Sus scrofa: one gene and its partners. The protein of the gene in region 1 purifies or fractionates together with the protein of each later gene. This does not show direct contact. Links are inferred from orthologs where the notes say so. Each region holds a gene or a part of one and is shown on either strand. Other genes may lie near its edges. The genes, in order: CTDSPL2, STK35 and PDIK1L.

Region 1 (3,630 bases):
TTTTGTTGCTTATATGCCACATAGTCTAATGATAGTTTGTTAGAGCTTCCCAAAAGGACCAAGAGAGTAAACCTCAATAAAAACTGCTGTACTCTGTCTATGGGAATGGAATACTGGTAGATAATAGTCTTTCGAGACAAAAACTTATCCCTTTTTGTTATAATCATGTATTCATACTTTCTGAAACAGAGCCAATACAGTATTTATGTTCAATAAATGACAACAGATGTAAAGCAGAATTTTCGTTCACCTCTAACAATTTTATGCCAGTAGCAGTTCACTAGTACAAGAGAAAAAACTGAAAACATCTTCCTACCACTTTACTGTTTCAGATTCCTATTAACCTCGGAGAAAAGGAGAAAGGAAGTAATTAGTATTTTAGTAATTCTGTGCTAAACATTTTTAATACTTCATCTCATTTGATCTCTAAAATCTCTAAAAAGTTACACAGTAAGTAAATGGTAGAGCCGGCCCCCTTACTTCTTGTTCCTTTTGGCTACATTCTTAAAGTTGAGGAAAAGGAACACTTCTGTCACTAACACTCGTCTTTTTTGGGGAGTGGGGTGCCAACGCTAGAGGCAGGCAGATGGGCCTGAAGCATGTGGAGTTTTCAGCCAGGGACTGAACCTGAGCCACAGGAGTGACGACACTAAATCTTTAACCACTATGTCACCAGGAAATCCAAGAGTCATCTTTTAAGATCAGCAAAACTTTTCTTTCTTTCCTCTCATAAGCCTCCTAGAGTAACTGCAACATTTTACTCATTTATTTGTAACAGTACTCACTACACTTTACAGTAATTTTTGTGTACACTTAACTCAATTAGATCACATACTCCTCAGGATCAATGAACATATCTTATTTATCTTTATAAACAGGGTCCAACATAACAAATAAGTGATTAATTAAAATGTTAAGCAAATGAATAAGACAAATGGAATAAATCTCTTCCTCTCTAGAAACTAAAGTTACAGAAATCCCTTCTCCATCTTTACAGTTGTCAGAAAAAATAATACAAAGTGTTATCCAGAAGCACAAAAACAGGAAAAAAAAAATCAAATAAGAAGCCAAGAGCTCTGACTTCAGTCTTTATCTTACCACTCAATAGCCTGTAACACTAAACAAAGTAATCAACAGTTGGAGTTCCCGTCATGGTTCAGTGGTTAACGAATCCGACTGGGAGCCATGAGGTTGTATGTTCAATCCCTGGCCTTGCTCAGTGGGTTAAGGATCTGGCGTTGCCGTGAGCTGTGGTGTAGATCACAGACACGGCTCGGATCCCACGTTGCTGTGTCTCTGGCATGGGACGGGCAGCTACAGCTCCAATTAGACCCCTAGCCTGGGAACCTCCATATGCCTCGGGTGAGGCCCTAGAAAAGACAAAAAAACAAAAAACAAAAAAACAAAGTAATCAGCATTAAATAATATGTCAACAATAGGTTCATTTGCAAGTCTTTTCAACCCAAGAACATTATTCATGTTGATTTGCTTGTGAGATTCACTATTACTCTTAAACTATAAGATTATAATAGTTTATGGATATTTATATTTCACAAACGTAAAATTTTTTATTATGGTGCTTTTCTCTTTAAATTGGTATAGGGTGGCACTGTATGGAAGTTCCATAATTGTATGTATTTTTTCTTTACATGTTTTCTGCTGCTTCAATGATTTTTTTAAGTTTCCTCTTTATATCCGAGAGATCATCATTTTACTTCTAATGCCAAACTCTATTTATTTATTTATTTTTTTTGTCTTTTGCCTTTTCTGGGGCCACTCCCATGGCACATGGAGGTTCCCAGGCTAGGGGTCTAATCGGAGCTGTACCCACCAGCCTACACCAGAGCCACAGCAATGCGGGATCCAAGCCGCGTCTGCGACCCACACCACAGCTCACAGCAACACCGGATCCTTAACCTACTGAGCAAGGCCAAGGATCGAACCCACAACCTCATGGTTTCTAGTTGGATCTGAGCCACATCTGCAACCTACACCACAGATCACGGCAACACCAGATCCTTAACCTACTGAGCAAGGCCAGGGATTGAACCCACAACCTCATGGTTCCTAGGCGGATTCGTTTCCACTGCACCACAATGGGAACTCCTAAGATCTCCTTCTGAAAAAAGATGTCCATCTTCAGTTTTATTTCTGTTTTTAAGCATAATGGAACATACTTTCATCTTTTAGTCTTATATGTCTATCTACCATAACCCTCCGAAGTAATAAATTCTGATTTCAAATTTCTACATTTCCATGACGGCTGGCTTGGGGACCCAATGATTATGTTAGCCCTTTAAAAGGATCCAGGACTGGGTTGCAAAGTTGGGGTATAAGGACAGATCTAGGAACAAGAGTTTCTTTGGGAATGTCATCCATATATGAAACAAATCTGAAGGTATGGAACTACCTCTACACAGGGACTTTAGACCTCAAGGATCTAAGACTGATGTAATTATAATAAATATATTAATGAATATATTATTTTGTTAGCTGTGTTAAATTTCCCCTACTAGTAAGATTGGTACAAATAATTAAACTGTAAAATGACTGATATATAGTCAAAACAACCTTTAAGAAACTGAATTTCAAAATGACTGGATTTGGGGGAGAAGGATTTATTTCCAATTTTAACTTTCTTAACTTCAAGAAAGAAAAATTTATGAAATTAATCTGCCTACTTAAGAAATAGTTTTTGCAGTTCCCGTTGTGGCTCAGCGGTTAACAAACCTGACTAGCATCCATGAGGACTCTGGTTTGATCCCTGGCCTCACTCAGTGGGTTAAGGATCCGGCACTGCCATGAGCTGTGGTGCAGGCTGGCAGCTACAGCTCCAATTTGACCCCTGGCCTGGCACCTAGCCTGGGAACTTCCATATGCCACAGGTACGGCCCTAAAAAGACAAAAGACAAAAAAAAAAAAACACAAAAAAAGAAATACTGTGTTTTTGTAAACCATTTATGAAGGTATACAAGGAAAAATAAGGAATCTTTTTCACCTGTAAGGGGTGGGATATCACGATTAACTGTTTCTTCTGCTTCTTCTAAACCATTATTTATTGATGGCCTCACTTGAACTGCTTGACTTGAGTAAGCCGCTCCATTGGTTGATGTAGTAGTACTGGTAGTAATTTCATCCACCTGTTCCATATCAAGTTGTTTTACTATTTCTTCAGCTTCCACAGCCTGTCCCGGGGAATCGGATCCTGATGTTCCTGAAATCATGATTCGGTGTACATTAATCATTATTTAAGAGCTCACAGTGGGTGGGGAAAGATGGGAACAAACTTTTTGTTGTTGTTGTTTGTTTTTGGCCACATGCATGGCAAGCAGAAGATCCCCAGAATTGAACCTGCACCATAGCAGTGATCCAAGTTCTCTGCAGTGACAACGCCAGATCCTTAACCCACTGAACCACAGGAAAACTCCAAGATGGGAGGGAACAAAATTAAAACAAGTAATAAATAATCCTTAGATATCTAATGCACAGTATAGTGAATATAGACAACACTGTATTATAATCATCAAACTTGCTAATAATGAGACTAGAATTTCATTATTCCAAACACTAAAAGAGAATAATTACACAACATGAGAGAGCACATGATCATAGACCACCGAATCAACATGT
Region 2 (4,307 bases), on another chromosome or scaffold:
TGGTTAGCGCTTAATGAACATTTGTTATGAAAATACCAGCTAACGACAGTGCTGAGAACGGATCCCGGATCCTGGATCCTGAGCTGAGAGGACAGCCCAAATGCTTGGCTTGGAAAGGAGGGTGTGTCTGGTTCAGAGTGACAGGGCCAAGACCAGGGTCTAGGTAAGAGGTCCTGGGGTCACTTTGAGCAGAGCCCACCGGATTCGTGGGTCCAGGCCCTGAGTAGCCAAGGCGGCCCGAGACGCCCCTACCTTTGAGCGAAGTCTCCACCAGGCGCAGGTAAAGCTGCGAGTTCTTGTTGCCGTGGCTCATGCGCTGAGCTAGCCCGTTGCGCTGCAGGACGCACTCCTCAAACTGCACGACGTTCTGGTGGCGCCGCTTGAGGCTGGTCAGGGCCCAGAATTCGGCCAGCGCCAGCTCCACGTTCTCGGGGGCGTCGCAGCGGATCTTCTTGACCGCCACCCGGGCCCCGCTGCGCCCGGCCACTGCCTCGTACACCACGCCGTAACTGCCGCGCCCGATCTCCGCCAGCAGGCTGTAGCGCGGCCGCGCTGACCCGCCGCCGCCCTCGGGCCGCCGCCTCGCCAGGTAGGCCTCGCCCGGGGCCTCGACCGCCACCGGATCCATGGCCTGGGCCGCCGCCGCCGGCCTCAGCTTCGCGCTGAGCGCCCGCGGCACTGGGCTTCGCCTTTTCCGCTCGGGGCTTTGTGTACCTCTGCGGGCGCCGTCCTCTTCCCCCGTTTCCATGGCTGCGAGCGGCGGGGGGAGCAGCAACGGCGCTGCCCGGGCCCCCCCTGCCTCATCCCTCCGTCCGGCCCCGGGACGCGGAGGATCGGGACCTTGGATTGTGACCTGTGGGCGAAAGAACCGGTTAAACGCGCAGGCCGAGGCGGGGAGGCAAGGAGCGTAGGCCGCAAGGCGTCCCACCTCCTCCTCCTCCGGCCGCCACGGCCCCTTTAAGACGGAAGCCACGGCGGCTGACTGAACGGGGGAAGGGAGGGGAAAGCGGGAAAGACGAAACCACGGGGCAATGGCTCAGAGGGGGAGCCGGAAAGAAAAGCAAAACCTCCTCGTCTGTTCAGTTGATTTATCCTATAACAATACGAAAAACAAGGACCTGCAGCGGTCGTGACTTAAGAAAATCGCCTTAAGCGCCAAATCGGCCTGTGGAGATCTGGTTCCCCCGCTCGGCTCCCTCTGGGATGCCCCTCCCCGCGTCCCTCCCTGTGTTCTCCCGGGTGTAAACAGTCCATTGAATTAAGCTCGAACGGATCCCCGCGGACCGACCCAAGTCCCGAAAGGCTGCGGGTGGAAAGAGTCGCCTTAAAAGTTCGGCGTTCCTGAGCGCGCTAATCTGGGGGCCCTCCTGCTCTGCCCAGGAGGCTCCGGGGTCGCCCCGGCTGGCTGCTGGCTTTTACTCCGCGGACCGCACCCTTACCTGGCCGGCTCCTTTCCACTTCCGGGCAGCCCGTTTCCCCTCTAAGGCCCCGGGTTGGGGATGGTCCGCTCCGGGCCAGGGCTGCCTCCGGTACGGAGCGGCGCGAGAGGCGTTGGCCCGGGCCGAGCGTGCAATGGAGCTTGCGGCCGCACGGGTGATGGCAGCGGCGCTCTCGGGGGAGAACTGAGCGTAGGGGCTCCCGCGGCTCTCCACGTGTTCGCGCCAGCTGAGCCCTTTACGTAACCCTTTTATATAAGCCTCACGTCCGGCCCGCACTCGGGCCAGCGGGGGCTCCTGGTGGCCCATCCCCCGGGAGGCCGGAAGAGTACCGCGCCGCCTGGGTCCTGCCAAGGTCGGCCGACCAGCCGCAGCCGGGCGTACTCACGCCGCGCCGAGGCCCAATCACAGGCTAGAACACCTAACCAGCAGAAAATGGGCGCCAAATTCCCGCGATCTGGCTGTAACTCCCCGGTCTCCGAAGCCGCCTGCGCAGCACAACCTCCTCCCTTCCTGGCCTGCGCTGGAAGAGGAGCTGCACGCAGTAGGCCCAAATAAACACTGATTGGGTGATTGGATTGGTCGGTTTGATTAATGCATAAGGATTGCCTGGGAACCGCCCGGTCTGGGTTGGAATCTAGAGCCCTGCCTCCTGTTAAGCCCCTGGATCCTGGGCAAAACATTGCCCCACTTGGACCCTCAGTTTACTCTTCTGCAAAGTGGGTAGGCCCTAATTTTCAGGGTTGATAGCACCAAATGAAATGTACATACACGTACATATTTATATCTAGGGTGGCTAATTGGGTGCAGGCCTGAGAGCGTTCAATGTAAGCTCCATTTAGGCATGAATTTTTAAATATTTTTTCACTGCTTTGTACTCCAATGCCTCCTAGATGCCTTATATCTGTTAACTGAATCTAGATATTTATTGAGTGCTTATAATATGTTAGGCACCGTTTTTGTTCTAAATTGCCAGGGAAAGAGCTGTGAACAAGACAGTCTCTACCTTAGTTGAGGTTCTGTGCCTCATGGAATCATATGGGTGACCTTGCACAAGTAAACTTTTTTGGCCACAGGAATAACCCCAGCTACAGCAGTGACAACTCTGAGCCCTTAACTGCTAGACCACCAGGGAACACCATTAATTAACGTTATGGTGTCTCTAGTCCTCATCTGTAATATGAGAAGAATAGTAGTTGGAGAATCCACTGAGGGTAGATGGTTAAAGCACTTAGGTCAGGCTTTGCACACATTAACTATCAGATACTATTAAATAAGCTAATACCCAGGGTCTTTTTTTGACAATATTAGTGTGTAACGAAGGAGAAGAATAAGCTAAACAGTGCCTGAGGGTTGCGGTCAAGCCACTTCTGTTAGTGTGGTCACTGAAAAACTTTTTTTTGCTGTTTAGGGCTGCACTCGCAGCATATGGAGGTTCCCAGGCTAGGGGTTGAATCAGAGCTGCAGCTGCTGGCCTATGCCACAACCCCAGCAACTCGGGAACCAAGTCACATCTGTGACCAACACTACAGCTCACGGCAACACCGGATCCTTAACCCACTGAGTGAGGCCAGGGATCCAACCTGCGTCCTCATGAATACTAGTTGGGTTCAATACCGCTGAGCCACGGGAACGCCCTCATATACTTTTAAAATTGTCATAATAATTTTTTATATTTTACTACTTGCATTATCACATTCTCTCTTGTGTATATGTTTGTGCATATATTATATGCAATATATATATGTACTTTTTCCCCAAAAAAACACTTTGTTTCAGACATCATGCTCTTTAATTCCTAACTACTTCTGTGTGTATTACCTAAAAACAGGGATATTCTGTTGCAAAATTTCAGTACAATGATCAACATCAAGAACTTTAACAATAATATGATTTAATACAACTTCCATAGTTAAATTTTGCTATTGTCCCAGTAATATAGCTGTCCTCTAGGAGCCAATGAGGAACACATGTTGCATTTAGTTGTCATGTCGCTTTAGTTTCCTTTAATCTAGAAAGGCCGTTAATTAACTCAGGTATACTAGTCGGGTTGGTTTCTACCAGCCACAACAGGAACTCCTGGACAATTTTTTTGTGTGTGTATTTTGTAGGGTTTTTTTTTTTTGGTCTTTTTAGGGCTGCACCCACGGCATATGGAAGTTCCCAGGCTAGGGGTCCAATCGGGATCTGAGCCGAGTCTTCCACCTACACCACAGTTCACAGCAACACCGGATCCTTAACCCCCTGAGTGAGGCCAGGGATCAAACCCAGGTCCTCATGGATACTAGTCTGATTCGTTAAACACTGAGCCACGATGGGAACTCCTGGTTTAAGTTACAGTGGTAATCTGTTCTTATTCTTATGACCAATAGCCAACATTCATTAAAGTTTTCTGTCAGGCATAGAAGGTAACAAAGAATTCTCATGCCTGTGAGGTACTGTTCTTAGCCCCATTTTACAGATGAAGAGGCTAAAGGGAGGAGCTTGATTAGCTGGGATTTGAACTGAGACCCCAGGCTCTTCACACTGTCTTACCCCCCTCAGCCCCCCCTAATGGCGGGCATTTATGTGAACATGTAGGACCTTCTTCCTCGGCTTCCCTGTCAGCAAACATGCCTATGCCTAGTTCCCTGGAGCCTCACATGCGCTGGACATGACTGGAACACAATAGTTGCAGGAGACATGGAAGAAAAGGGCAGGAGCAGCAGGGAGGCTTTAGGCCCTTCCCGTAGGCCCCGGCCTTTGAGGGGCTGACATAGAAAATAAGACATTGTGGGGGAGTTCCCGTCGTGGCTCAGTGGTTAACGAATCCGACTAGGAATCATGAGGTTGCGGGTTCGATCCCTGGCCTTGCTCAGTGGGTTAAGGATC
Region 3 (4,416 bases), on another chromosome or scaffold:
GCCCAATGTCAAACAGCTAGTAATTGGTGGGCCTGGGATTTGGAAAGCAGACCATCTGGCTCTGAAATTCTTAATTTTAACCACTACACTATACTGTCTCTTTCATGAACTGCTTCAATACATCACTGTTTAAAATAAATTTAAAAATTCAGCATTATTATTTACTGATCATAAAAAAACAAACAAAACTCCAGCTTCCCCTGAAAACTGACACACACATAAAAGGCCATAAAAATGGCAAAACCAAAACCAAACCCTCAGAGTTATAAATACAAACACCTGGCTTATGCTTAGGGACTGAAAGTGAACCAGATCACAGAAGTGAAAATGTGTAGTTGTTATTATTTAAAAGTAAATAGTCAAACTGTATATGTTCCTAGGTTAATTTTGTTTATGTTATTTCCTTATTTCTTGCAAAAGGAAAATAACATTTGTGGAGAAAAATGTTCCTTTAAAGATATAGTAAGCTACTTAGAATATGATTACCTTTCTGTTGTTGTTTTAACGATAGCTATTCAGATCTAGGTCATTTTTCCCAGCGAAATCTGTCTTGCAAATTAAGGGGCTCTCCGAGGGAGTTCTTTGGAATTAAACTTGATAAACTATTTAAAGGCAAGAGCAAAGGCCCTACACGGAAATGCTCACGTGTTGAATCAAGAGTGTCTAAAGTGTGCCTCCTCACGCTCCAAAGGATGTCAAAATTCTAACGAGCTTCAGGAATAAATTCTCATTTGTAGACTGCCACCATGGGCAAGAAAAGTCACCTGAGACTGTACAATTTTTACACTGTACAGTCTGTGGGAACAAAAAGCTGTTGACACTAGAACCTGAGAAGTTAGGATCAGCTACTTTAAGTCTGTAGGATAGATTTAATAAAGAAAACGAAAGCTTCTGAGATTGCATCTTAATCCTACTTCCTCTCACTGGACACCCACTCATCAAATTCCTACTCTATTTCCAAGCATCTGATTTCCTGCCTCGGAGTCCTCTGCCCCAACTACACAGTGGACATGCTTTCCTGCTCTCCGTGGATCGCCAATTACTATCCATCTCAAAGGGGCTCGTGTTTTTGAAGCCGACCCACATCCTCACACGAAAGAGCACCTGAATAAGGGGGAGGAGGTGTTTATGAAATCCTTGAGATCCGGGGTCAAAACCTAGCACGGTGAAGCATCCCGGGAGAACCTTGGTAATTTACGACGGCATCTCCCGGCCCTCGCGCCTGCCGGGCGCACGCAGCCCCGGACGCGGGCAGGCCAGGCAGTACACCTGCTGGCGCCCGGGAAGGGCCAGTCCTGGGCAGAGGTGCTGCCAGACGCGGCGGCTCAGGGCCCCGCTCATTGGCCAAGTATCAGGCCCTCCCCCTCCTCGGCTGCGTCCAGCTGAAACCCGGAGGGGATCCTCCAGGGGCCCTTCACCCCGAAGAGCCGGTCCTGCAGTTGTCCCTACTTCTCGGGGCCGGCGGCTGAGGCCCGGGACCACGGGAATTAGAGGAGGCCGCAGCTGGGGCCGGTGGCCTGAGGGGTGCGGGCCGGAGGCCTGAGGTGCGAGGGGCCTTCCCCAGGATGACTGTGCTGACAGCCCTGTGACAGGACTCCTGGGGCCGGAGGCACGTGCAGGGCCTTCGGCTCTGCTTCAAGGCCTCTCTGCCAGGCCGAGGGGCCAGATTTACCTCAGGGTAGCCGCCGCCGCTTCTCCCTCTCACGGGCTCTGCAGGCCGCCATTATCGGGCAGCTCGCGCCTCCGCCGCCGCGGCCTCCAGTCAGAGGCCGGCGCGCGCCCCCGTGGTGCGCGCGGACACACCCCCTTACGCCGCGCGGCCCCGCCCCCCTCCGGCTTTCCGTAGCGCGAGCGGGGACGCCGAGCTCCAGTCCTATTGGGCGCGCGCCCGGCGCTCCGCTGGCTTCCTCCCGGCTCCCCTGGCTTTCAGGACACGGGAGTCGCGGAAGGGGTGCGCGCTCCGGAACGCACCACTCGTGCCCCTCCCCGCAGGGGTGGTCGGGCCCGGGAGTCGGAGGCCGCTCCATGCACGGGACTCGGTCGCCTTCCAGCTGCGGCAGGCTCGCACGGCCTGCGGTCCTGGGTGGTCCGCAGCAGCAGGTCCGGGCCTAGGGGTGCGTGCTGTCGGCGCCCTCCCCTCCCCCGCCCCGCCTCCATTCACGACCTACCGAGCTGCGGGCAGGTGTGCGGGGTCGCTGGGGTGGAACGCCTGGTGCATCTTCCTCGGCGCGGGCCTGAGATGCCTGCAGGATGCGGGCCTCTTCCGCGGGCTCGCGGGGAGGCACGGCCCGAGCTGGGAGGCCTGGCGTCCACCCCGCCGAGCGGGAGGCTGCACCTTTTGTCAGAGTCACTGAGCCATTTTTGCGGGCGGTGGAGTTGCCGAGGCAGCGGCGGCGCGGGGCTGGGTGCGATCATCTGGGAAGATGCAGTCCCCTGCCCCGCCGGCGCGGTGGTATCTCCCTTAAAGAAGCCGAAGCCGCATTGTTCCGGTGCCCGGCCGCCGCGAGTCACGGGCGCCCTGCCCCCAGTGGGGAGGAAGGGACCGTGGCGCCCGCACTTGGCCGTTGCCGCGCGCGCACGCCTACCCGGTGGCGGCACCCGCGGGCTCTTCGTGGAGGGTCGGCCTCCCCCACCCCCGCCCTGCGCATCTAGAGGGGGAGGCCCGGGTTGGCGGGAGCCGGGATTGACAGCGAAGACAGCCGTTCTTGGGGCCCGACGGTCAGCTTGAGTCATTGGGGTACCCGACAGCTGTCAGCCAAATCCAGGGAAGCGTTCACCTCATAGCCAGTCCGGGACTGTCACTTGCTCAGAGACCCGGACCAATCGGTCGTTCGATATTTTATCTGCCAGAAACCTTCATTCCTTCTAAACTGATTTATTCTGCACCAACTATTTGTCAATAAAGTGGCTAGTCCTCCTCCCAGTGCTGTACAAGGCACGATGTGCAAAGAATCCCTGCTCCTGCCCTCAAGAATCAACCAATTACCCATTTTATTTTCTGTCCTCCACTTATGCAGCTTCTCTGCAAAGTCTGGGGCTGGGTTAAGTCTTTAAATGTTGTCTCCTAATCCCAACCAAACCCCACAAGGACAGGCTTTATGACGAATCTTGCTTTTAGAGGTGAAAAACAAAAGCAAAAACGGATCTTTGTCTTATTTGGCGAAAGTTGTTTGTTTTGAGGGGGGAGCACCTGCCTTGAATACCCACTCAGCTGGTGTGACCCCTTTACCCCCGCCCCCAAAACCCCCTGCTCTGTAATCCCTTCAGGCTTTTGCCCTGAGTGCGAAGTGAGGTTAGCTGTCTCCTGGGAATACTGATGTAATCTAAGGCTTGCTTTCTACCCTTGAAAGTAGAGGAAAGGACTTCCCATTGTGGCTCAGCGGTTCAGAACGCAACTAGTATCCATGCAGATGTGGGTTTGATCCCTGGCCTCGCTTATTGGATTAAAGATCCACGATGCCCGTGAGCTGCAGCATAGGTCGAAGATGCAGCTTGGATCCCGGGTCACTGTGGCTGTGGTGTATGTAGGCTCACAGCTGCAGCTCCGATTTGACCCCTAGCCTGGGAACTTCCATATGCCTCAGGTGCAGCCCTAAAAAGCAAAAAACAAAAAAACTACAGGGAAAATAGAGGGCTCTGTGTAGATAGCCAGCTGGACACCTGTGGGGTAACTGATCAGAATCAGGGGAGGGGTGTCTCTTGGTCAAAGGAGCCTTGTCCTTTTGTTTGTCTCAGTTTGTCTCAGTCATTAAATACAGGAATTCCTCCTCTCAAGCTGGCTGCAGAATTTGGAATCCACTCCCCAAACCCCAAAGTTAAGAAACTGACTCTAAAGTCTGTGAGGTAGATGTTTAAATAATTTGGCATGTCCTCTTTAGGAAAAAGATTACAAAATGAACCCATTGCTAGGGATTTGGAAAGGGTCTTTGTAAGTGAGGGACTCTGAAACTTAAGCTTCAGAATAAATCTGCTCTGAAAATTACATTATATGAGTATGTTTGCCAATAGGCTTTCTACTAGACTGAGAGTTCCTGGGGACAGAAACTTTGTCTATGATTCATTTCTCCAGGCTCCTCTATCTGCCAAAATTATGGTGCCAAAATACTCCAGAGGATAGCATTGCTATACATTGCTGGTGGGGAGGCAAAATGATGTAACTCTAATTAAGGAAATTTAGCAATCTATGGCCACATTGCATATGTATTTACTCTTTCACCCAGTAATCCTAGGTCAAGGCTAAACTTCTAGGAATCTTTTTTAGTGATACATTGGCAAAATTCTAACCACTGTGTGCACAAGGCTATTCATTATGACATTTTGACAGCAAAAGGTTGGAAACTTCTCATGTGTCAGTAAGTAACTTGCTGAATAAATTATAGTACCTGTATAGGATGCAGTGCTATGTAGCTGTAAAAA

What was found.
Region 2: the proteins of CTDSPL2 (region 1) and STK35 purify together in Homo sapiens (affinity purification with mass spectrometry; 3 studies listed by BioGRID and IntAct, counting the BioPlex papers as one, with this or other methods). This does not show direct contact. The link is inferred for Sus scrofa from reciprocal best matches to the Homo sapiens genes CTDSPL2 and STK35.
Region 3: the proteins of CTDSPL2 (region 1) and PDIK1L purify together in Homo sapiens (affinity purification with mass spectrometry; 4 studies listed by BioGRID and IntAct, counting the BioPlex papers as one, with this or other methods). This does not show direct contact. The link is inferred for Sus scrofa from reciprocal best matches to the Homo sapiens genes CTDSPL2 and PDIK1L.

The regions. Positions count from the first base shown.
Region 1 is NC_010443.5:127,055,903-127,059,532, forward strand, and holds part of CTDSPL2 (CTD small phosphatase-like protein 2), read right to left. Parts: intron 3,215-3,630; coding exon 2,999-3,214; intron 1-2,998. UniProt on the Homo sapiens protein: Probable phosphatase.
Region 2 is NC_010459.5:33,410,475-33,414,781, forward strand, and holds the start of STK35 (serine/threonine-protein kinase 35), read right to left. Parts: upstream 2,852-4,307; 5' UTR 1,746-2,851; coding exon 1,440-1,745; intron 854-1,439; coding exon 253-853; intron 1-252.
Region 3 is NC_010448.4:83,541,143-83,545,558, reverse strand, and holds the start of PDIK1L (serine/threonine-protein kinase PDIK1L), read right to left. Parts: upstream 2,815-4,416; 5' UTR 2,734-2,814; coding exon 2,169-2,733; intron 1,821-2,168; exon of another isoform or gene 1,673-1,820; intron 1-1,672.